Caenorhabditis elegans: one gene and its partner. The protein of the gene in region 1 interacts with the protein of each later gene in a pairwise test. Each region holds a gene or a part of one and is shown on either strand. Other genes may lie near its edges. The genes, in order: syd-2 and unc-104.

What was found.
Region 2: the proteins of syd-2 (region 1) and unc-104 interact in binary tests that used the Caenorhabditis elegans proteins (3 or more experiments, as listed by UniProt).

The regions. Positions count from the first base shown.
Region 1 is NC_003284.9:10,549,964-10,561,663, reverse strand, and holds the start of syd-2 (Liprin-alpha), read left to right. Parts: upstream 1-6,424; 5' UTR 6,425-6,499; intron 6,500-6,723; 5' UTR 6,724-6,727; coding exon 6,728-6,841; intron 6,842-6,890; coding exon 6,891-7,220; intron 7,221-7,291; coding exon 7,292-7,387; intron 7,388-7,436; coding exon 7,437-7,568; intron 7,569-7,661; coding exon 7,662-7,795; intron 7,796-8,033; coding exon 8,034-8,127; intron 8,128-8,220; coding exon 8,221-8,337; intron 8,338-8,386; coding exon 8,387-8,560; intron 8,561-8,605; coding exon 8,606-8,743; intron 8,744-8,793; coding exon 8,794-9,020; intron 9,021-9,063; coding exon 9,064-9,229; intron 9,230-9,320; coding exon 9,321-9,625; intron 9,626-9,719; coding exon 9,720-9,873; intron 9,874-9,952; coding exon 9,953-10,075; intron 10,076-10,133; coding exon 10,134-10,294; intron 10,295-10,338; coding exon 10,339-10,657; intron 10,658-11,028; coding exon 11,029-11,350; intron 11,351-11,402; coding exon 11,403-11,587; intron 11,588-11,699; and 1 more. Other genes in the region: F59F5.7 (DM13 domain-containing protein), read right to left, coding at 1-71, 250-377, 430-575, 678-805, 1,233-1,345, 1,976-2,036. UniProt on the Caenorhabditis elegans protein: May play a role in regulating the structure of the neuronal region, called the active zone, from which synaptic vesicles send neurotransmitter signals across the synapse. This may be in association with the liprin-beta protein hlb-1.
Region 2 is NC_003280.10:6,988,562-7,000,261, forward strand, and holds the start of unc-104 (Kinesin-like protein unc-104), read left to right. Parts: upstream 1-6,425; 5' UTR 6,426-6,625; intron 6,626-7,372; coding exon 7,373-7,472; intron 7,473-7,996; coding exon 7,997-8,147; intron 8,148-8,194; coding exon 8,195-8,363; intron 8,364-8,413; coding exon 8,414-8,592; intron 8,593-8,885; coding exon of another isoform or gene 8,886-9,049; intron 9,050-9,224; coding exon of another isoform or gene 9,225-9,330; intron 9,331-11,700. Other genes in the region: C15F1.1 (ShKT domain-containing protein), read left to right, coding at 1,332-1,395, 1,509-1,643, 1,938-2,020, 2,066-2,163, 2,315-2,362, 2,572-2,785, 2,902-3,021. UniProt on the Caenorhabditis elegans protein: Motor protein involved in microtubule-associated anterograde transport. Regulates the transport of synaptic vesicle precursors in the axon of DA motor neurons. Regulates the polarized sorting of axonal proteins.

The DNA of each region.
Region 1 (11,700 bases):
CCCGAATAATGCGGCTGTCCAGTTTCCCAATTTCCAGCAGTCATCGGTACTCCGTTAGGGATGGCGACCGACTGAAAAATTAAATATAATACGTATATTTTTATAAAATTATGTTCTCACTTCGACTATTACGCATCATGTTTTTTGAAATCTTATTTCATCTCTCTATGTATGTGTCATTCTTAACTGTTCTGAGTATTTGTTTCTCACATACTTTGAAATAATAAAACGTGTTAATGTTAAACTTACTGCAATTTTGTGTTTCATGTTGAATGTTTGAGACTCCTCCACTCCCAATGTGTGTCTCGAAGGTAAACTACTCATCTTTGATGATGACTGTGGTCGCTCAGGCGGGACAAGCGTTTGCATATCTAGTTCTGAAAAGTTGGTTAAAGAACGGTTCGAGATAAGAAAAAACAAATGTAGAACCTCTTTGCATCAAATACTCCACTTGATTGGTTTTTGGAATTTTCATGAAGTCGGATGGATCAGCTGGCAATTTGCCTCGTAATTGTGGTCGAATAACGTTCCCATATTGCGAACGCGGTTTGGTGCCGGCAGAATGAGATCTGCTTCTGGAAAAACAAACTAAAGTTTCGGTTAGAACATATATTCATAGTGACAAATTGTTTATGACAAGAGTAAATCGCTCTTCTTTTATGTACTTCCGTAGTTACCTCGGCTCATTTTCATCAAATCTCGGCAGCTGCTTCAATGACAGATCTTCTTTTTCGTAACTGCCGAAATATGAGTTAGATGCACTTGATGATGATGTGGCCGCGGTTTTAAGTGGTTCAGTTTCCGTCTAAAAAATGAAAAATTGAGATCCATTGTGACAATAAAATGGAAACTGTAAATTAGTGTGATTGATTGTGTTTGCATTATATTTATTTGTTTTTTTTTCTGGAACTCTTACAATGTTTTCAAGAAAATTTTAATGTATAATTTTTGAACATCAAAAATTCTTTTTAATATTGTTTAAATTTCCGCTTTCCAAAAACAAATCCACAACGAAATGCCACCGGAGTATTTCTGTGAAAATAAGACAAGCTCATTATTTAAAAAAAACTACGATAAATTTCGTGTTTTGAAAGGAAAATATATATTCAGTTACAAAAGCAACTCAGCGTTTGCATACAAATAATTATATTCTTATGTTAATTTTGTTAAAACATAATTCACTTTTGAATAATCATTTTCGAACAGTAATTTCTGATTTCCGTCTTTCTTACTTGGTAAGCGAGCGATCCTTCTTTCAAATGGCCGAGCCTCCTCTTATACTGCGACCATGGAACAATTGCTACTGGTCGAGATTGTTCGTCGCCTCGAATTTCCACTGTGTAAACTGTAACTTTCCCTTCATCAAATTCATGTTTTTGCTAGTTTCCCAGATAAGTTTGACCCCGTAACGGTTATGTTCAAATAGAAATCCACCTTTTGTTAGATGTTGCGCTCTAATTGTATATGGAAATGAAAATCCGATAGAAAAGTATGGAACGGTGGATCTATTTGTTGTCCTTGATCCGTTTCCGTTTTGTTTACACATATCTCACTTTTTATAATAATGAAATCTTCAACTTACTGGGATGCGTACTTGACAAATTTCGGACCAAACGTTGAAAAATTGTCAATGTTTGAAAAAAAAAAGAGAGCTTCTCTAAAAAAAGCTTCAAAACCTTGCCGCGTTGTTGAACGCGTTCAATGTTCTTATACAAAATGCACGCATAGTTAGAACGGATAATTGGCTCAAAATTGTTTTTGGTCAACCTCCAAAATTCGAACAGGCAAAAACTGAGTAAAAGCGCTACACCATCTTTTAGATGATTTAAGAATAGATGAGATGTGCACTTTGAAATCATATTGCGCTTTTTGAATCAATAAAAGGAAATCAGTGATTTTTATCTTCTAAACTGGTGTTTTGTATACATATTTTTATATTGTTCTTTGAAAGTATTTAAATAAAAAAAACACTTACTCAGTAGAAATAAAATCATAAATAAAAAGTCATTTGCTTTGGAAAAATAAAATAGATTCATCGCAGTTGAAGACAACTAAAAAAGTTCAATAACTATTTGATGAATACAGCAAAGTTGCAACCAGTAGCAAAGACCAGAATTTTCGGATTGAAATGCACTAAAACGAGCGGGACGCGCGCAAAGATGGGCGGATGCGGCAGATGATCTGGACACGGTGTGCGCAAGGTGTCTATGTGTCTCCACAAAACTCATATTTTCCACCACCGCTTCTGTGTTCTACTGTCCGCTTACCGTCGGCGTCGTTGCCGCACTTCTGAATAATGCAGTAAACGGCGCGGAACACGCCGGACACTACCATCGTCACCACTTTTTGAGAGAACTTTAAGCGTCGATCGACTGTGTCGAGCTAGCCATCATGCGGCTGTCATTTTTTGTGGTCACTCAATTGGAGTAAAACCGGATATTTATTCATGATGATGACTACGGCTTCAAGGCATCACAAATAAAATGAAACATTTATAAACTGTGGATTGTTTATTTCAGTTTATCTCTAAACTTTTTCAAAGCCACTGTAACAACTTGAAAAAAACAACGGGAAACTGTAACGAACAAAAAGTACGGGGCCCGATTTGTTTTTACAACCAAAGCAAAATTATTAATACCGTATTTCTCGTATCAGTCTTTAGTCAGTCTTTCTTGCCGGTGATTACACCTAATGTCATGTTTTCGTTATATATATATATAACATAATAAGACTAATGGCAGCGGAAAGACTTACTTCAAATGACTCTTGGCTTTGTAAATATTATTGATTTCTGTTGTTTAGAATTCAGGAAATATATACGTTTCTATAGACTAAACGCAACCCACGTTCAAATTTACTTCACACCAAAAATACGATTTTACCTCATTTTCAACAACGTGTAGCTGGTCCGGTATTTAACTAGTGCAAGAATACATATTAGAAGGCACAAGACTAATACGGACTAAATGACTAAATTTTGATTGAAATCCAACAGTGCAAAATGAATATGAATTCTAGACTATTAAAGACTGCAATAAGATATGTTGGATATGATAAATCTTCAAATTCAATAGTGCAAACCTATATATGTTTATATCATGTGGGCATGTGAAAGAACCTGAACTGTATCAAGATATCCCCTCACAGTCAATTATCGCCTCTGGGCATGCTGATTGGCATTTTCGTAACTGTGTATGAATTTTGAAGATGAAGTAGTGTCAGTGGGAAAAATTGCTTAAAACAACTTATGTGATGCAAATTACCAAATATCATTCAAAAAATTTTTTTACAATTTTTTAAAAAACTTTTATTGACCTACAAAAATGGGCAACCCTACAATGTTTGAATATCAGTGTTTGCAGCATAAATAGAGATCATAATTCAAAGAGATTTTTTGATGGAAGACATTTAAAAAAGTGGCTAAGCCGAAATTTTCCCAATTACTCAACAAATCATAACAAACTTAGAATTTTTAAATAATTTTTAAACTAAATTTTTAGTCATTGTGTCACCATAAGTGAGTTTGACTGGCTCTACTCCCCCTTTAATATGAAATGTAGACTGTGAAAAAACACACACACAATTTTGTAGTCATTTTTTTACGTTCAACATTATATAGTTGTTAACAGATATAAAACATTTGGATGTGATTGAATAAACTCAATACAAGACGCTATTTTGCTTGACTGACTTTGAATTATAGAGTATTTTTCACGATCCAGTTAAAATTCAATACTTTTCAGATATTGTACATACTATCTGAACTCCTGATTTCAATTTCGCCAAGTTCCTCACAAATGACACTAAACATGATAAGTTTCATTCCACGCAAGCCATAGTTAGACAACTGTTGTTCGGAATAGTTAAACCTTTATTTATCGAAAAAAAAACGAAAACCTCGGTTACCTACATGTTCCTGTTATCTATGAACACTCACACGCACAGACCCAGCTATAAACACTCTCATTGCAAGAACTATGAACAAGTGGCGTATCGCTCGGTTCTCTTTCTGTTTCTTTCTTTTGCAACGTCATCTTCAGTAATTACGACGATGTGTATGTGTGTATGGGCTAACCGATTCAACAGACGAATGCATGCGCACATCTTCTTCGGCTTTGCTAGCAGAGAGAAAATACTTAGCAAACTCGTCACCAAATTTTAATAAAGTTTCTGGTTTTTTTAATCAGCAAATTGAATCTTATTTTTAATGATAGAATTTCACCCAATATGCTTGCAAACTTTTGAGTGGCATTGAATTTCGACAAATGTCTTAATTGTTTAAAAAAAACTGGTTTAAAAAAGAAGCAACTTCCCTATTTAAATTTTTATTTTAAGAAATCAAAATTAATTGCTAGATTTGCATAGCATCATTGAAATGGTTTCTTAAAAACAATTCAAACGAGTGGCATTGCACAAAAATACTTCCCAAAACATCGTACTGCTTCACTTCGAACTTTGCACCTGCATAAACATCGTAACAGCAAACTCGAAGACATATTTATGTAATTTCTCACAAAATATTAGCGAGGAATCTACTAAATAAATTTTTAAAAAATTTGTCTAACACATAATTCTATTGGCAATTGATTATTACTTTTCAAGGTGCAACATGTTTCACAGCAAACTACTTTGCTAACAAGATATGTGAAATTATTTGCGATCGGAAGCTCTAAATTTATGCAGCTGCGTGCCATAGTGGCTGTCGCCAGTCAACTACTACTACCTCAGGATATTCATCCATCTGTTGAAGGCAGGTGGTCCCCCTCTTTTACTTTCTCTCCGAATATTCATACTCTTTTTCTCCGGGTTTTCTCACTAGTTCCGACCTTGCTCGCACTCGTTCGTCCATGAAAGCATTGATGTTCGGTGACTTTGAAAACTTTATGCAAATCTCAGGAATGTTGGGGTTTTGAGGGGGACGCCAAACGGAACAAAATAGGAAAATCGTAGGGATAGGGGACGTGAAGGCACTTGTTATTTTCATTGCCACTTCCACAAATTGAACGCTTGTTCTTACTCTTGCCTTGTTAGATCCCTCGTCTTTTTTTTTCGATTTCTATCAATCTGTATAACGTTTTACTACTTTACTATTATACTATTTTACGTTCAGAAAATGACTCAGAAATGACGAGTTTATACAACAATCGTGTTGTTAAACTTTTTTCTGCTTCAGTGTTTTGTTCCCCTTTTTTATGCTACTATCACAGAAAACCAAAAAAAAAAACGGAGTTTTAGGAAAAAACATTAAAAGTCTAAAAGTTGGAATCGAAGAAGTGTTCTTGTTTGTCAGTCTTCATTGTCAGTCGATCTTTGAAATTTGAAATAAACTTCCCTGTAAAACCCAATTGAATATATTTTGAGCACTCGTTCTAAATAATTGCTGCATATACTTGGAAGTAGAAAACGTATTCAATTTACAAATGGTTAATATATCACTATGAGTTTAGTGAGAGTAACTTGACTTATATTTAAAATGTTTAGAAATTCTCCGGATGCCCTAATATTAAACGAGAGACTTGCCCAGCTTCGTTCAAGTTTAATTCAGGTTCATCGGTGTCTAAAAAGTTATTGTAAGAAAATTGAGTTAAATCTTTGTTATCATATTCATTGCAATAGGATATAATATAAGTTATCTAAGTTCTGGAATTTTTTCTATAGCCATACAATTTGGAAAGTTTCATACAGTTTCGAAACATTTTCTCACGTTCAACCGTACTATTTCAGGACGTTCAGAATTTTGCCATATCTGTCTCTCTAATATTCTCTTGTCATCTCTATTTCTCTATTATCTTTTATCCTTTACTCCTTTCTCTGTTTCTGTACTTCTCCGAATTGTCAATTCTATCTTGCACTCTCATGTAGGAACCAATTGACGAAGAAATAGCGGGAGGCAGTCAGGGAGGGGACGGAAGGGGGTTTTCTCCCGCGCGCGTAGCCAAACGGCCGATAGATGTGTGACCCTGTGTTCTCTGGCTCTGGCCTGTCTCATCTTTCGTTTGCACCCATTCTCTAATGCCCTAGCATCGATTCGGGCCCACGTCCGGCCACAACGAAGAGGACGAAAAGGAGAAAGAAGGGGGAAGAATACGAAGGGCGAGCACTACTGACCGTTGTGTGTAATTCGGAGCTCTTTCTCTTTATCGGCCTGTGTCTATTGTCTCTTTTTCTTTCCCTCTCTTTTTCCATCTTCTCAACTCTTTTGCTTGGCGAGTTGGTTGTTGCAGTCATATTACTTATAACACACACACAAGAGGAAGAAACGAAAAAAGTAGAGAGAAAGAGAGAGGAAAGAGAAATAAAAACACTTTCAACGGAACTAACTTACTTTTTAGTTCTTTCGTAGTTCTTTCTTAGTTTAGTGTCAACCGTTTTAATTATTTTGTCTTTCAGCTTCACAAAATTATTGCTATAAAAATTATTGTAGGTTATTCACTTTCTGCAAGGTATGACAAATTACTCAACAAGGGCAAGCTGATTCACTTCTTTACATTTTTTTCTGGTAAGTGTATTTTATTTTAAATTTGAAAATTGTATAGTCAACGTTCAGATATTTCTATTTCTAGGCGATGTATCCAATTTCTTCTGTTTCTTGCGTTTTTTCTCGCGCTTTTCTAAATATTTTTCTGCATATCTAGACGATTTCAAAATATAACTAAACATTTATTAATGTTTTGTTTTTGATTGAAAATCTGAAATTTAGTTATCAATTTTAATCTGTTTCAGAAATATGAGCTACAGCAATGGAAACATAAATTGTGATATAATGCCGACAATCTCGGAAGATGGAGTGGACAACGGCGGTCCCATTGATGAACCATCGGACCGAGACAACATTGAGCAGGTCTGTATATTGTAAAACCTTAAAACTGAATGTTCTTTAACTTTTTCAGCTGATGATGAACATGTTGGAAGACCGGGACAAATTACAAGAACAGTTGGAAAATTATAAGGTGCAACTGGAAAATGCAGGGCTCCGAACGAAAGAAGTTGAAAAAGAACGAGATATGATGAAGAGACAGTTCGAAGTTCATACGCAAAATTTACCGCAGGAACTTCAAACAATGACGCGGGAATTATGCCTATTAAAAGAGCAGTTATTAGAAAAAGATGAAGAGATTGTCGAGCTCAAAGCAGAACGGAACAATACTCGACTTCTTCTAGAGCACCTAGAATGTTTAGTTTCCCGTCATGAAAGATCACTCCGAATGACGGTCATGAAGGTATGTCTTTTGATTTATTATTGTTCCCCATTCTATTTGATGTGCTGTAATATTAAAACTTCCTTTTTCAGAGACAAGCTCAAAACCACGCTGGCGTATCTTCTGAAGTTGAAGTTCTAAAAGCTCTTAAGAGTTTATTCGAGCATCACAAGGCATTGGATGAAAAAGTAATTTTTTGTATTTACTCTGTAGATTTTCTAATGTTTTAATATTCAGGTTCGTGAACGTCTTCGAGTAGCAATGGAGCGTGTGGCGACACTTGAAGAAGAGCTGAGCACAAAAGGAGATGAGAATTCGTCGCTGAAAGCGCGTATTGCCACTTACGCAGCAGAAGCGGAAGAAGCAATGGTAATTATTCATTGAAAAAAATAAGAAAGAAAACAGAAAAACGAGAATACATCACATACCCACAAAAATGTGTTTATCAACAAAAATTTTCAGGCGTCAAATGCACCCATCAATGGTTCAATTAGCAGTGAAAGTGCAAACAGACTTATCGAAATGCAAGAGGCTTTAGAAAGAATGAAAACAGAATTAGCCAACTCACTAAAACAATCAACTGAGATCACAACAAGGTACTATCGTAATAACTTTTCAAAAATTGATGGTGAATATATAAACACCTATAAATTTTTGTGGTCAAATTTTTCGGTTTTTTTTCAAAAAAATGTTTGAAGAATGCGTAAAAATTAACTATAAAAATATATTAAATTACATTTAAAAAATTGTTTTCTTATCTCAATTCAGTAAAAAAAATAGGAAAAAATCATGCTGAAAAGCCTATGAATACTCCCCCAAATTTTTAAATTTTAGAAATGCCGAACTCGAGGATCAATTGACAGAAGATGCTCGTGAAAAACATGCTGCACAGGAATCAATCGTTCGTTTGAAGAATCAAATTTGCGAGGTACTTGTGAAATAATCAATTTGTATCGATATTGTTGCTTTTACCTCAAAATCATTCAATTCAAGCGTATTTACTTATTTTTCCTATGTTTAGCTTGATGCACAACGCACCGATCAAGAAACTCGGATAACAACGTTTGAGTCGCGTTTCCTGACCGCGCAAAGAGAGTCAACGTGTATCCGGGACCTCAATGACAAATTGGAGCATCAGGTCAGTAAAAGACATCGCAATTGCATTAGAAACCTCATTTTCTTTTCAGCTTGCCAATAAAGATGCGGCTGTCAGGTTGAATGAGGAAAAAGTTCATTCACTTCAAGAAAGATTGGAGTTGGCAGAGAAGCAACTTGCACAAAGTCTCAAAAAAGCTGAATCCCTTCCGTCTGTAGAAGCCGAATTACAACAAAGAATGGAAGCACTTACAGCAGCTGAACAGGTGTGTTTTTGTTGTTATGTTTGTTTAAAATGTTTTCCTTTTCAGAAGAGTGTTTCTGCTGAAGAGCGCATCCAAAGGTTGGACCGAAACATTCAAGAGTTGTCTGCAGAGTTGGAAAGGGCTGTGCAAAGAGAACGCATGAACGAAGAGCACAGCCAACGGTTAAGTAGCACTGTGGACAAGGTGAGCATTTTAAAATCATACACAAAAGTGTTAGCAAAACATTTTTCCAGCTTTTATCGGAATCTAATGATCGCCTTCAACTGCATCTCAAAGAACGAATGCAAGCCCTCGATGACAAAAATCGGTTAACACAACAGCTTGATGGAACAAAGAAAATTTATGATCAAGCGGAACGAATCAAAGATCGTCTTCAGCGGGATAATGAATCTCTACGGCAAGAGATTGAAGCTCTTAGGCAACAATTGTACAATGCAAGAACTGCGCAATTCCAGTCAAGGTACAACATAATATAATGCATGGTGAAACCGTAATTTTTTCAGAATGCATGCAATTCCGTTTACACATGCTCAAAACATTGTGCAGCAACAACCACAAGCTTCGATTGCTCAGCAATCTGCATACCAAATGTACAAACAACAACCAGCTCAACAGTATCAAACTGTAGGAATGAGAAGACCAAATAAAGGAAGGATTTCAGCACTCCAGGTGAGATTTGGTTTTGTGACATTTTGTTTCACCATGTTAAAATTGCTATTGGCTACAACAAAAAGAAACCAACCATTGAAAAAAATTTCAGGACGATCCGAACAAAGTTCAAACCCTCAACGAGCAAGAATGGGATCGACTTCAACAAGCGCATGTTCTTGCCAACGTCCAGCAAGCATTTTCCTCATCACCATCACTGGCCGACGTCGGTCAATCGACTCTTCCACGTCCTAACACTGCTGTCCAACACCAGCAAGATGATATGATGAACAGTGGAATGGGAATGCCAAGTGGAATGCAGGGAGGAATGCAAGGTGGAATGGGTGGTGGTCAAGATGCTCAGATGTTGGCATCAATGCTACAAGATCGCTTAGATGCAATAAATACTGAAATAAGGTGGGCTAATTATCGTTTTAAAATCTGATTCTATAATGTATTTTCTTAACTTTATTAATTTTTTATTAATTGTTTTTAACAAGTATATTTTAAGATTGATTCAACAAGAGAAACATCACGCAGAACGGGTGGCTGAACAGTTAGAACGATCAAGTCGGGAATTCTATGATGATCAGGGAATATCTACGAGAAGTTCACCAAGAGCAAGTCCCCAATTAGATAATATGCGACAACATAAGTATAACACTGTAAGTCTTCATTTGTTTGTTTTTTTAATACATTTTTTATATGTATTAAATGTTCTTCAAGAATTTTTCTAAATTATAGCTTCCTGCAAATGTATCCGGTGACCGACGGTATGATATTTACGGCAATCCGCAGTTTGTTGACGACCGCATGGTTAGAGATTTGGACTACGAGCCACGACGAGGGTACAACCAATTTGACGAGGTAAGAGTCATCTCAAGAAGGAAGAAGATGATTAATGACCGGTTCGTTTCTTTTGCAGATGCAATACGAAAGAGATCGAATGAGTCCAGCTTCGTCAGTCGCTTCCTCGACAGATGGCGTTCTTGGCGGAAAGAAGAAAAGATCGAATAGCTCAAGTGGATTGAAAACGCTTGGAAGGTTTTTCAACAAAAAGAAAAATTCATCGAGTGATTTATTCAAGTGATTATTTTATTGAGTTATGAAAACATACAATCATTTTTTAGACGAAATGGAGATTATTCGGATGGCGAGCAGTCGGGCACAGAAGGAAACCAAAAAGCTGATTACGACAGGAGGAAAAAGAAGAAGCATGAACTATTAGAGGAAGCCATGAAAGCACGAACACCGTTTGCTCTTTGGAATGGTCCAACTGTTGTTGCCTGGCTGGAGCTGTGGGTTGGCATGCCAGCGTGGTATGTAGCTGCGTGTAGAGCAAATGTGAAATCCGGTGCAATAATGTCAGCTTTGAGTGATCAAGAAATCCAGAAGGAGATTGGAATCTCAAACCCATTGCACAGGTTGAAATTGCGACTTGCAATTCAGGTACTGAGGCTTTAAAAATTTACTAACCGGCAGTAAGACGGCATTTTGTTTGTATGTTGCAAAAAATGAAAAAAAAACACCAAAATAAATTTATCTTGGTTCGAACCAGGTTCTTTCAACTTGAAAGTTCTCATGGCAAGATTCAGCAAAAATACAGCAACTCTGTAGCCAGGTATTTTTTGTTAAAAATTTGCAATATAAATTAATTGTAATGATCAGTCAATGTGTTCACAGATTCCTTTGATTTTTTCATTACATAAAAAATAATATCCTTAATGTTTTTCTGAAATTTTGAATAATGACAGTTAAACTTTCAAATTGAGCAAACAATTATATACAATACAAGATTATATGTATATGCTTTTTTTCAGGAAATGGTTTCTTTAACGTCACCATCTGCCCCACGAACTGCTCGTCTGACTCTTGCCTTCGGAGATATGAATCATGAATATATTGGAAACGACTGGCTTCCTTGTCTCGGTCTTGCGCAATACCGATCAGCGTTTATGGAATGTCTTCTTGACGCTCGAATGTTAGAACATCTTTCAAAACGTGACCTACGCACGCATCTGCGCATGGTAGACACATTCCATCGTACAAGTCTCCAATACGGAATTATGTGTCTCAAGAAAGTCAACTATGATAAGAAAGTGTTGGCGGATCGGCGAAAGGCGTGTGATAATATCAACACAGGTAATAATTATATTATCTTTACAACAATGCCTTTATGGGTAATACCTTGCAGACTTGCTAGTGTGGTCGAATGAACGAGTTCAGCGATGGGTGGAAGAAATCGGGCTAGGTGTATTTTCAAGAAATTTAGTGGATAGTGGAATACATGGTGCATTAATTGCACTGGATGAAACGTTTGACGCATCCGCTTTTGCATATGCACTCCAGATTGGATCTCAAGACGTTCCTAACAGACAAGTGAGTAGAAGTCATCATAATTCAAGAAACCTTTGGGAAAAATTGAAAATAATACTCAAATATCATTTTATTCCGCAAAAACAATTATTCATATAATCTTATACATTTTTAGC
Region 2 (11,700 bases), on another chromosome or scaffold:
TTTTCACGAGTAATTTAATAATTAATAACTTATTAATTTTTAAAAAACAAATGAAATATTTTTTTAAGGTTTCGACTTATGAGTGGGAAAAGTTTCAGGAATCGATAGCATATTATTTACAATTTTCTAATATCACATTGTTTCTTTTCACTTCCACCAAATGATAATTCCAGTACAGAAAAGAAGATGAACAGTAAATCGTGTTCTATTCTCCAAATGGTCACTTCCATTTCTCTCTTTCTACAGTTGATACATTGCATTCCACACTTGTAACTGAAATGACATGCTAAATGCCAAAGAAAAGATGAATGGAAATGCCAAATGAACGTTCCCCTCACACGCCTTCTTTCTTCACTACTTTTTCTTTTCTTTTTCAACCATTTTGTGACGAAGAACTGTTTTCGAAAAGAAGTATTAATTCCTCAATTTACTTCGGTAATGAACTTATTAGTAACACGATAAGTTTTGGTTTTCAGGACAGTATGCTTAAATATCTTTTCTCGTTTTTTCTCGGGGCAAGAAATTTGAAGAAATATCAAACACATATAAGTTAATATGGGTTAGTTGAGCACTGAAGATTATTTTCATATTGCTGATGTATCTTCCAAAGTCCTTTCAAACCACTTTCAAAATATTTTTTTAATTTAATTTATTTTTTCATATCTTTTCACCACAAAAAATGGAGAGCATTGAAACTTTTCAGAAATAACTAATGAATTAAAAACTTATAATAAACATTATAATGTTGATTTTTAACCTCTCTCGTGAGAATAGTTTCATGAAAAACTATTTCATTTGGAACGGAAATGTTTTACATTTTTGTATTCCAGAAATATTAATTGTTTTTATTGTTCCATTAATCAAATCACCAATGTTCAAAATATTTTGAATATCCAATTACTTATCGTTCATCTCACAATTTTCACCGGTCTGCACCCTAACTCGAACAAGTTTAATTTAAAATGGAAAAAAAAGAAAGAAACGCAGAGAAAACAATGTTCAATTAGCACTGGAAAAGATCGTTTTCGGTTCTCGGCACGACGCTCGTTGATTGACGATGTTGAGGTGATAAGTGATAAAAAAGAGAAAAAAGAAGGCTTTTCCTCTTTGTATTCTTCTTGTTTCTCATTCACTCACTCACCTTCTCCCTCCTTTTACATTCGATTTTTTCTGCCAACCTTGATTAAAAATCTATCCCTTTCACTAGTTATCTATCATATCAACCATTTCTAGTAGTTCCTTCTTTACTTTTTCCCGTCATTCTACCAATTACCCTTTCGTTTACTTTTTCCATTTCTTTTCATAAAATCATTTTCAGACTTTTCAGAGAAATGTCAATACATCAGACGTCATTTCTATTGTTCACACTTTTCAGTTTATTATCATTTTCAATAGGTTTGTTTCGTTCAATCAAAACACAATAAAATGCCATAAAAACAGGTTCCCAGACCCATATTCAGTTTACACTAAACATAACAATACCCTTTTCACGTATATCTTTTTTTCAGCAGCCGACACATGCCGGGACTTTGATAATAATTGTAGAGATTGGATTACTGTCAATCCAAATGCATGTGATTCAACTGAATATATTAAAAGAAGTTGTCTCAAGAGTTGTGGACAATGTGGAGAGGTTGATCCCAGTAGGTTGTTTCTTTATTTAAAAATTAAAAACTTCAGCTATTACACTTTATTAAAACACTAATGATAGTTTTAAAAAAGTGGAATTCTACATAAAAAATTTTCAAGAAATGACGGAAGAATTTTCACATTAGAAATTCAATAAAATTGAGCAAACAATCTGGAAAAATATTTGAAAGGGTAGTATTTAACATAATATTAGACTTCAAAATAGTAATAAACATTTAAACTATTATATTTTTAAATTTGCAATTTCTTGTGGTTCTAAAACTTCTAAAAACATACTATTATTTCAGAATACGATTTACGTCGTCTTTCTCAGGAACTCACACCAATTGGTTTCCTAGTAGGGAAATGGAGATCTGAACATGGAGGAAAAGTTCGTTTTTGAAACTGTCCAGATTCTTAAATTTAATAAATCTAGGCAATCTTCCCAACAATTCCGAAATTCACATTTGGAGAAGAAATCGAAATTTCAATTCCAGGCGATGCAATGCAATCGGCTCAAGCTCTTAACTACACGTAAGAAAATAACTGAAATTATGCCATGCCTGCATGCCGCCTATTATTTGGTGGTTGTACGAGGCAGGTAGGCATGTTAACGTTCACGTGAAAGGTTTATTGGAAATATTGCCGTTTAGATGTTTCAGATTCAGAAAATATTTAAATTTAGAGCGTTCGCATGGAGTGTAGAAAAAAGAGATGAGAAGAATCCAAACAGGTTTTCATATGTCATTTTTTGTTTTTATTTATTTTCCAAAAAAACCTATTTTTTTGTTTCGAACTGTTGAGTGTTTTGTCTTGGGATTTTATTTTTGATTCTGTCAATTCTGGTGGCTCTTCTATTTTTTTCGGAAAAGTGTACTTGTAAAAGGGAATTGGTGACAATAGAAATCTCAATACTATCTTCAAAATGCTCCGAATTTTCAGAGCATTTGCCTGGTCGATAAATGATAAAGATGAGTTGCACAGTGAATATGGATATATTTCTGTGAAACCAAACACAAAAGAAGTCGCACTGACAACTGTAATGAATAATGGTTTTGTGACAGTCGAAGAAGGTCCAGTCAATGGAAATCAAATTAGATTCCGGCTTAAGGATATCGGAAGAATTAGTTTCAGCAGAGATTTGCCTGTTCATGATGTAAGTTTTTAGAATAGTGTTTTTGTGTGTAGTCATAACAATGAAAACCAACAACAAAATTCAAAAACGCTCTAATTTCACATAATTCAATCAAACTCAAAATTTAAAATATTCAGCTCGTCCGAGAATGGACTCTTCTGGATCGATCAACACTTCAAGCCCGTCTGAACATGGAGACATTAACACATGGAATGCAGGAGCACACATTTATTCGTTACAACAAAATTGAGCCATAAACTGAAGAAAAACGTGTTTATCTCTTTCTATTCCACTTCTAGTCAACTACTTCCCACTCAATTGATTCCCCCTTTCCCCTTAAAAATAAAAACTCTTGCTGCTTTTTATGAGTTTTCCTAAAAGCTGCTAAATATGTATATAGCACCATCTCAAGAGTCACTGTATAATAGAATAGTGAAAATAAATGAGCTGTGAAATGAGCCAAAATGAAAAAGAAAAAGAAAGCAAATGAAGTGAGAAAATGGATGCAAGAATTGACACTTTTATTGGCAATTCATGAGGATTCTAACGATGAGTGAAGATGAAAGAGTAGACTAGCGGAGAATAAGGTTTTAGAAGAAATTTCGATGGGAGTTGATGACATTTGTGATTTTTAAACTTAAATTTTAACTTATCGCTTAGTGATCTTTAATCATAACCGACTTTAGCAAGTTCATGAAAAAAGAAACTTTCGATCGGCATTCGATCATAATTTTTAGACATATTATAGAGCATTCTCGTGTCTCCCCATAGTTGTAAATATGCAACCAGATGTCCGTTGGTGCAATTTAGTTGCTCATCAAGTTCTCTATGTCCATTTCTATTCTGTTCAACCACTTCATTTCCCCTTTTGACATTTTTCTATCTGTGAGAGCTTCATCTCCCATCGTTTCCTCTTAACGTCTTCAGAAAGACAAATCGTTGCCAAATTCATCATTTTCGAGTGCCAGGCATCCAATAACCGAAAGAATGGGAGCAAAGAGTGCTTTTCAACGGAAATTAGAACCATTTTTCTGAAAGAAGTCTGCGCGAGATAAGCAAAGTTTTAAATTTTCATGAAAACCACAAGCGCGTATTTTGAGTTTTTCACAACTTTAGAAAAATTCAAAAAACGGATGCCAACGTTACAGGAAAATGCCGAAAATTCGAGAAACAATAATTTCCATGAACATTTAAAAATAATTTTTTCACGACCCATTTGTAATAGTGAATTAGTAAGGGTATTTAATCTGATACATTTCCAAAAAATAATGCAATGTTTGCCGAAAACTTGACGATTTGCCGTTCGCCTGAAAATACTGTATGATGACTGAAAAATTTCCCGTTTGCGAAATCTGTGATTCCTATAAAATTAGACTTCTAAATAAATTGGCATTTAAAATCATGATTAGAAGAAAACTAAACCACAAAGAATATGAAAACACACTTCTATAATTAATTTTTACAATTAGATATATGATTTCATAAAGCTGCAGTGCTGTTATTTTGATCTCAATCTATTTACAAAAATAACACTGAAAAGTACTTTATGCCTTGCAAGAAATGCTCAATTTCTGTGTATTCTACGCTTAAGCACCTTCTATTCAGCACCTACTCGGGAATTCTCCACCAAATCCATTCTCATTTTCTTCTTTTCTCTCTCAACTCGTCTTCAATCTCTTCACCTCGTCCACTATTTCATCCCCGGAGACTTGTTCCCCAGACGTCGTGCCTCCAATCGATCCATTTGTGGAGCCCGCGTCGTCCACAGAGCTTCTGCCGTTTCATCTCTGCGTCTCGTTCACCCATTAGACGTTGTGCTTCCTCCCTGCCTGAAAATAGCCCCACACAACATAGACTTGCTCTTCTTTCTTCTACTTTTTTTCTCATTCTTTTTTCTCCAGATACGCCTTTATTCAAATGACGTGTTTCTTTTTTTTGTCTGTTCAAAAACCAACAACTCATGATCATCAGATGATGATGGTCAAAAATCCCTTCCGGTTTTCCTTTTCTTCCCAAATTTTGGCTTGGACTTTTTTTGAATTATGACACCAAAACATGCAACGACGTATATATATGCAAACGTAGAATATCGAGTTTCAGAACCGAATCATTGTCGAGATTAAAAGGGAGGAAATTGATATGTGATGGAAATAGATTGAGGGCTGAATTTTTGAGATTGAAAAAACAATTGTATAATGTAAGTAGATAAAACAAAGCTGTATTGAATTTATAAATATCTAATACATTTTCTAATACAAAAATAAATTTGATTTTGTACTTTTCTTAAAAAGTGATCAGAATTTCCACTAGATGTTTTTGGCAACAATCACCTGATAATTGGATTAAAATTTGACAAAACTGTTTAAGTACAAGCGAACTAGATGAGAATTTCTACCTTTTTCTTTCAATTGAATATTTTCGTATTCTATCCCTCCGTGCTTTCATTTTCCATTGACGTTTTATGGTTCAATATATATCCTAAAAGTTTTCCTTACCCTTTCTCCTACTAGTTTCATCTCTTCTTCTAAATAATTAACATTTCTTTATTTAATTGATTTCTTTCCATTTCACGTCATTTCTTCATTTAGCACAACATTCTTCTTTTATTCCCATCCAATCGCCTTCTCCGTTCATTCCGGCCCCTTTTTCAGCTTCAAATTGAACAACAAAAACACATTGCGTGACGATAAAACTTCCAGTTCCCGTCTTCAAAACGTCATTCCGAGAGACTATTCGCCTGGAACCCTCGCCTTTTTTTCATTATGTGCTCATCCCTAAAAGAGCCAAGAGCTCTCAAAAACTGCTGGGGATCTTCGTGAAAAAATGTTTGGTTGAAAATTGTTGAAGCATCTTGAATTACCATTTACTAAAGGACCAAGTATACATTTTGAAATAGGCTCCGAAAGATTGAAGCATATTTTGAACTAGATAATATTAATTAAATTCATTTTGTTGGTGTTAACTTTTATTTTAAGTTGCGAGCATGTTACCGTAAGAACCTTTTTCATTTTTTATTTTAAATAAAATTTTACAATTTGTCTTGAGCAACTTGTTCTATAAGTGATATCAACTTCAAATTAGTGAGCATATAAAATTAAAATGAGAAAAAACAATAGCGTGGATAGAAAAATCACCATAGGCCAGGAAAATCTGTAAGAGATTTTCCCGTGTTAGCTAAACTTTTGAAATTGTTTACATTTTTAAAGGTTATGTTTTACCATCTGATTCTTTACAGATCGGTTTTTTTTAACATATGACAATAGTTTTAACCTTTCGTTTTTGAACCTTTAAATTTGAAAATCAATAGTTTTCATTAAATACTCATTGATTACAGTAGCCATTGGAACTTTATGTCTCCTTTCGCTGACCTTAGGGAACATTGTGCCAAAATCAGTTTTGCTTCCAAAATCAGATTCTATAATTTCTACACTGTGACTCACAAAAACCAACCAAATTCAATCATTTTTCTGTATCCTGCCTTCTTCTTTTTTCGAATGTTCTTTTTCTCCTTGTTTCTCTTTTTTCCATGTTTATCATCGTCATCTGTTGCTTCTTCTCGGCTTCTCTAATTTCAGCCCAACCCCTTTTTTTTCCTCATCTAATTAAATTCGCCTCGAGGCTCCGTCCTCCTCCATCTCTATCTTTTTCTCTTTTCTCTTCCATTCCGAACTTTTTCTTTCCCAATCGACCATCTATTCGAAGATTCATTGCTGCCTTTTTTTCAGCACTCTTCTTCATTTTTTTTTTCGAATACACATTCAATAGAAAACTGGAGAAGAAGAGGAAAAGCATCGAGGAGACGATAAGTGGGGCTCAACGCCATTGGATGATTGACTCGAGCTGAGAAGAAGGACTCAAGAGGTGAGCCAAAATTGCAAAATAGAAGAAGAAAAAATAGAAAAACAAGAGGAAAGGGAAACAAATGTCTTGTTATAGATGTTGATGTGTGAAAAAAAACGATATAGAAAAATGACATGGCTGAACGGAGTTATTATCTTGACTTGAAAGGCGGTATTCGAAAAATTCAGATTTTACGTTAAAAATTCCCTTTTTAACTCAAAGTACCCAAAAATGGGCTAAAATTCAAAAATACCACAATAGAACACTTAAAAGATTCTGTAAGTTTGTAGGACTGCATTTTAATCCTAAAAATATGGTTTCAAAAAAATTAATTCATGTTCTGAAATGTTACTAAGGTTTTGGAAAGATCGCAATGAGCTTTAACTTTTCAAGATTTTTCTTCAAGAGTTGGTAAAATTTTTGACATCAGTAAACTTGTAGTTTTAAAAAACTTTTAAAACCCCTTTTCAATTTGTTTCAAAATTTCAAAATGTTCAAATCTTAATGCTTAAAATTGAAATTCAATGAAAATAGATCACAATTCACGTCATTTGGCATTTGCTTCTTTTCCCTGCCTGAGCCAACATTTTCTAATCGAATCAACCATTAATCTGTTTTATTTCGTCAATTTCTTTTTTCCTTCTTTCCTTATTAGCATATATCGATCTTACTTCAATTGTTTAAATAAATCTCAATAAACAAGTTCAAAATAACATGTGAATTCCAATTTCTACGAACGAATTCTTGAATTAATTAAAACAATTTCAGATGTCATCGGTTAAAGTAGCTGTACGTGTTCGCCCATTCAACCAACGGGAAATCTCGAACACTTCAAAATGTGTCCTTCAAGTAAATGGAAATACGACGAGTAAGTGCCCCAAGGGATTTAGAAATGGCGGGTGACATTTGAGACTGAGTTAACCCCTTTCTACGAAATATTTTCCGAGAAAAAAGGATAGGCTGCCGTCCCAAAATGATGCGAAAAACGTTGGTGACGTCCAAGAGTCTTTGGGAATAATTGAAAAGATGAGAGAGAAGCAATGCATAAAAAAGAACAGACGGGGTCTTGAAATGAATAAGAGGAATTAAAAGATATTCTGGAGGTATGGGATTCAATATTGGGATCTACCATTGAGCAATACCACCACATGTTTCGTTCCGTGTTTCTAACACAGAGTTTTTGAAGCATAGATAGGTGTTCATATTTGCGTTGGAGAGTAGTGATCTCCAAGATATATTTTTATACACAGTCTTTAAATGTTTTATTTTTAAATTTTAATTTTAAAGAATGGTTGTAAAATATGCTCAATTCAAAGCTCCCTGATAACAATACATGATACTGTAGTAGCATACTGTATGAACTGTTTCAAATTAAAATATTCCAATTTTCAGCAATAAATGGTCATTCAATTAACAAGGAGAACTTCAGTTTCAATTTTGATCATTCATATTGGTCGTTTGCGAGGAATGACCCACATTTTATCACCCAAAAACAAGTATATGAAGAGCTCGGAGTTGAAATGTTGGAACACGCATTTGAAGGGTTCGTTTGATGTACATAGATTAATAGTTTAAATAATTGACTTCTAGGTATAATGTCTGCATTTTTGCATACGGTCAAACAGGATCAGGAAAATCATATACAATGATGGGAAAAGCCAATGATCCAGATGAAATGGGTATAATTCCACGTTTGTGCAATGATTTATTTGCACGAATTGATAATAACAATGATAAAGATGTTCAATATTCTGTAGAGGTAATTATTTTTGATACATTAATTCATGGAAACTAACAATATTATTACAGGTATCGTATATGGAAATTTATTGTGAACGAGTAAAAGATCTTCTGAATCCTAACTCTGGAGGTAACCTAAGGGTTCGTGAACATCCTTTACTTGGACCTTACGTCGATGACCTTACCAAAATGGCAGTTTGTTCTTACCACGACATTTGCAATCTGATGGACGAAGGAAATAAAGCGAGGTGAGAGAGTGAGAGACGGAGAACATTAGAGAAAATCAACGGAAGTATCATGGCAAACTAAACCAAGTTTAATGACCGGGGGTATACACAGGTAACCCGCGACAAGCGAGCGATGACTTGCATGCAGGCCGCGTGCAAGCGAATGTAGAACCAAAAACACGCGTGTACGCGGCCTATCCCTCGCCTGTATTTCGCTTGTTAGCGGCCCATCGTTCGCCTATTATTGACATGTCTGTGAGATGGAATCCTTCCAGGATTCGTTCCACCCGCTTGTAGTTTTCACTTTCTTTTCTTATAATATGACAACAGTAGTTTATTTAAATAATATTTATTTAAGAAAAATTTCCAAAAATGCAAAAAAAAATTAGAATTTTTCGGGATTTTCCCTCGTTCCGCTGTCTCTGCTGCACTTGGTTGCTCTGTAGATGCTTTTCCGTGGCGTTTCCGATTGGCTAATCTGAAATTAAATACATTTTTGTATAAAATTGTGTTTTGTTTGCGAAAAATACAATATGAACTGAAAAGTTAAAGGTAGAGTTAAGTCAATTTGCGGTTTTGCCATGAATGATAGCAAAAACCAATTTTGCAAAAATAAAAGAAACATTTGAAGCTAAAATAAGCTAAAATATTACCTCTTTCAAGAAATCCTTGGAAACTGAAGCGAATTTTCAATATCCCCGCGTTCATCCATCGTCTCCGCGCTGCGTGACACGACGGTCGGTGGCTGTTCGGCAATCTTTAAATTTTGCATTATTTCATAGTTTATAAGAATTCAAAGAACAGAAATTATAATATCCCGTCTCTCCTTGCAAAAAACAATAGAAAAAGTGAGAAAAAGAAAGAACATCCAATTCTCATAACAAAAACTACGATAATTGCGAAATAATTGCCGAATAGTACGAATTTCATCGAAAATATGAGAAAATCAAAAATTATCGACATTTTCTGTTATGAAAATTGCATAAAATACGAGCGAAATGGCTTTAAAACGTTGAAAAAGATGAGAAAACGGAAAAATTGTTCAATAAAAATGAAACTGTAAACAACGCGCACCCCGTAATATCGGAGTATCGTTGCCTCTTTCGCTTGTAAATCGCAGAGTCGATGCTAAAAGCTAGTTCTATACTCTAAAATAAGTGCAACTTGCTCATAAAAATATACAGAAACAATACATTTTAGTTATTCCCACGATATCAAAGAAGTTTTTGAAAATATTTTCAAAAAAAGACGTTTTTTCGGTAGAATTTCCAATTTTGAAATTCGAATCATAAGGGTCCCCCTTATGGTTGAAAAAATTTTTCACCTAAAATTTTTTTATAGAAAATTTTTCAAAAAGTGTTTATATTTATAGAAAAAATAGAAATTTGTTAGTTTCCACAAGTCTGAACATTCATATTACATTTTCAGTCGAACAAACATCTAAATTAGAGTTGATTGAGCATTTAACAATCTTATTTTCAGAGACTTATAACTTGGTTGGCGTTTGAATTAATAAAATGTGGTCAACTAAAGAGTTGTTGACAATAATGCAAAGAACATTTTGTTAGTTGGTATCTTTTTGTTATCTTTAGTGACTGTGGAGATGTGAGCCCCAAAAGATGACCAAAATATTCTAGATCTGTGCTCAGCTATATCTCGGTTCTCGATAGAGATGAAGAGATGATTACAACTATCAAAATGTTTATTGTTTTAAGCTAAAAAAGGTTGTAGTTGATGACTTTTTGATATCTCGTTTCTAGAAAATGATACAACCGTTTTAAGACAGGAGGTTTTATTGTTCAGAGCTCCAAGGAAAGTCGGTTTCAGTGATCGAGAGCACCGAATTTGTCAAGAAAATGCATAGAACCAACAGTTAACATATTTTTACAATAACTGATAAATATTTGATAATATTTGAAAAAAAATTTTTTTTGATTTTTTCGAAAAGAAAATTCAAAGGGTCCCCCCTTATGAAAAATTTTAAATTTTTTTTCGAAATTTTTTTTTAACTGTTCAAAATTTGATTGCATCTTATAAAGAAATGCAAATTTTGTGGTTTTTTTTTTCAGTTTAGATGTTCAGAGTACGACTTCAGATGAGAATCTGAGGTATAGTAGAATTCCTATGCTCAAAAAACGTATTCACTTCGGAAGCCTATATCTCTGTAAAAAAAATTTTCATGACTGAGTGATCAACTACAAAGTTGTTTATCTTGATCTAAAGTACAATTTTGTAGTTGATTGTTTTCCTTCAAAAAAATTGATGGTCGAGATATAAACAGAAAAAGAAGAAGAAAATACCAGCATAAACTCGCATCACTCAACACAACTTTATCTTAATCACCAATTTTTTTGAGGGAGAACATTTGACTACAAAATTGTATTTTAGATCAAGATAAACAAATTTGTAGTTAATCACTTTGTCATAAAAACTTTTTCAACGGAGATATAAGCTTCCGAAATGAATACGTTTTTTGAGCATAGGGGTACATATACCTTAATTTTGGATCTCAAACTCGTTTAGACCATTCAAATAGAAGAAACATCAAATTTTAGCAATTCTACAACAACTTGTCAGTTTTTAGAAAGTTTCCGAAAATTTTTTTTTTGGATAAATTTCGAAAAAAAATTTGTAAGATGGGACCCTTCGGATTTTTTTTTTCAAAATATCGAAAAAAAATTTTGTCGAAAACTTTCTAAAAACTGACCAGATGTTTTAGAACTGTCAAAATGTGATGTTTCTTCCATTTGAATGTTCAAAAACAAGTTTGAGATCCAAAATTGAGGTATAATAGAACTACTATGCTCAAAAAACGTATTCACTTCGGATGCTTATATCTACGCGGAAAAAATTTTCATGATCAAGTGATTAACTACAAAGTTGTTTATCCTAATTTAGAGAACAACTTTGTTGTTGACCGGTTTTTGTCAAAAAAATTGTTGGTCGAGATAAAGTTGTGTAAAGTTGGGCACCTTCATGCTTGTATTTTCTTCTTCTCTTTCCGTTCATATCTCAGCCAAAAAATTTTCTGGCAACAAACGGTCAATTATAAAATTGTTCTCTAAATTGAAATGAACAACTTTGTAGTAAATCACTTAGTCATAAAAATTTTTTCCACAGAGATATAGG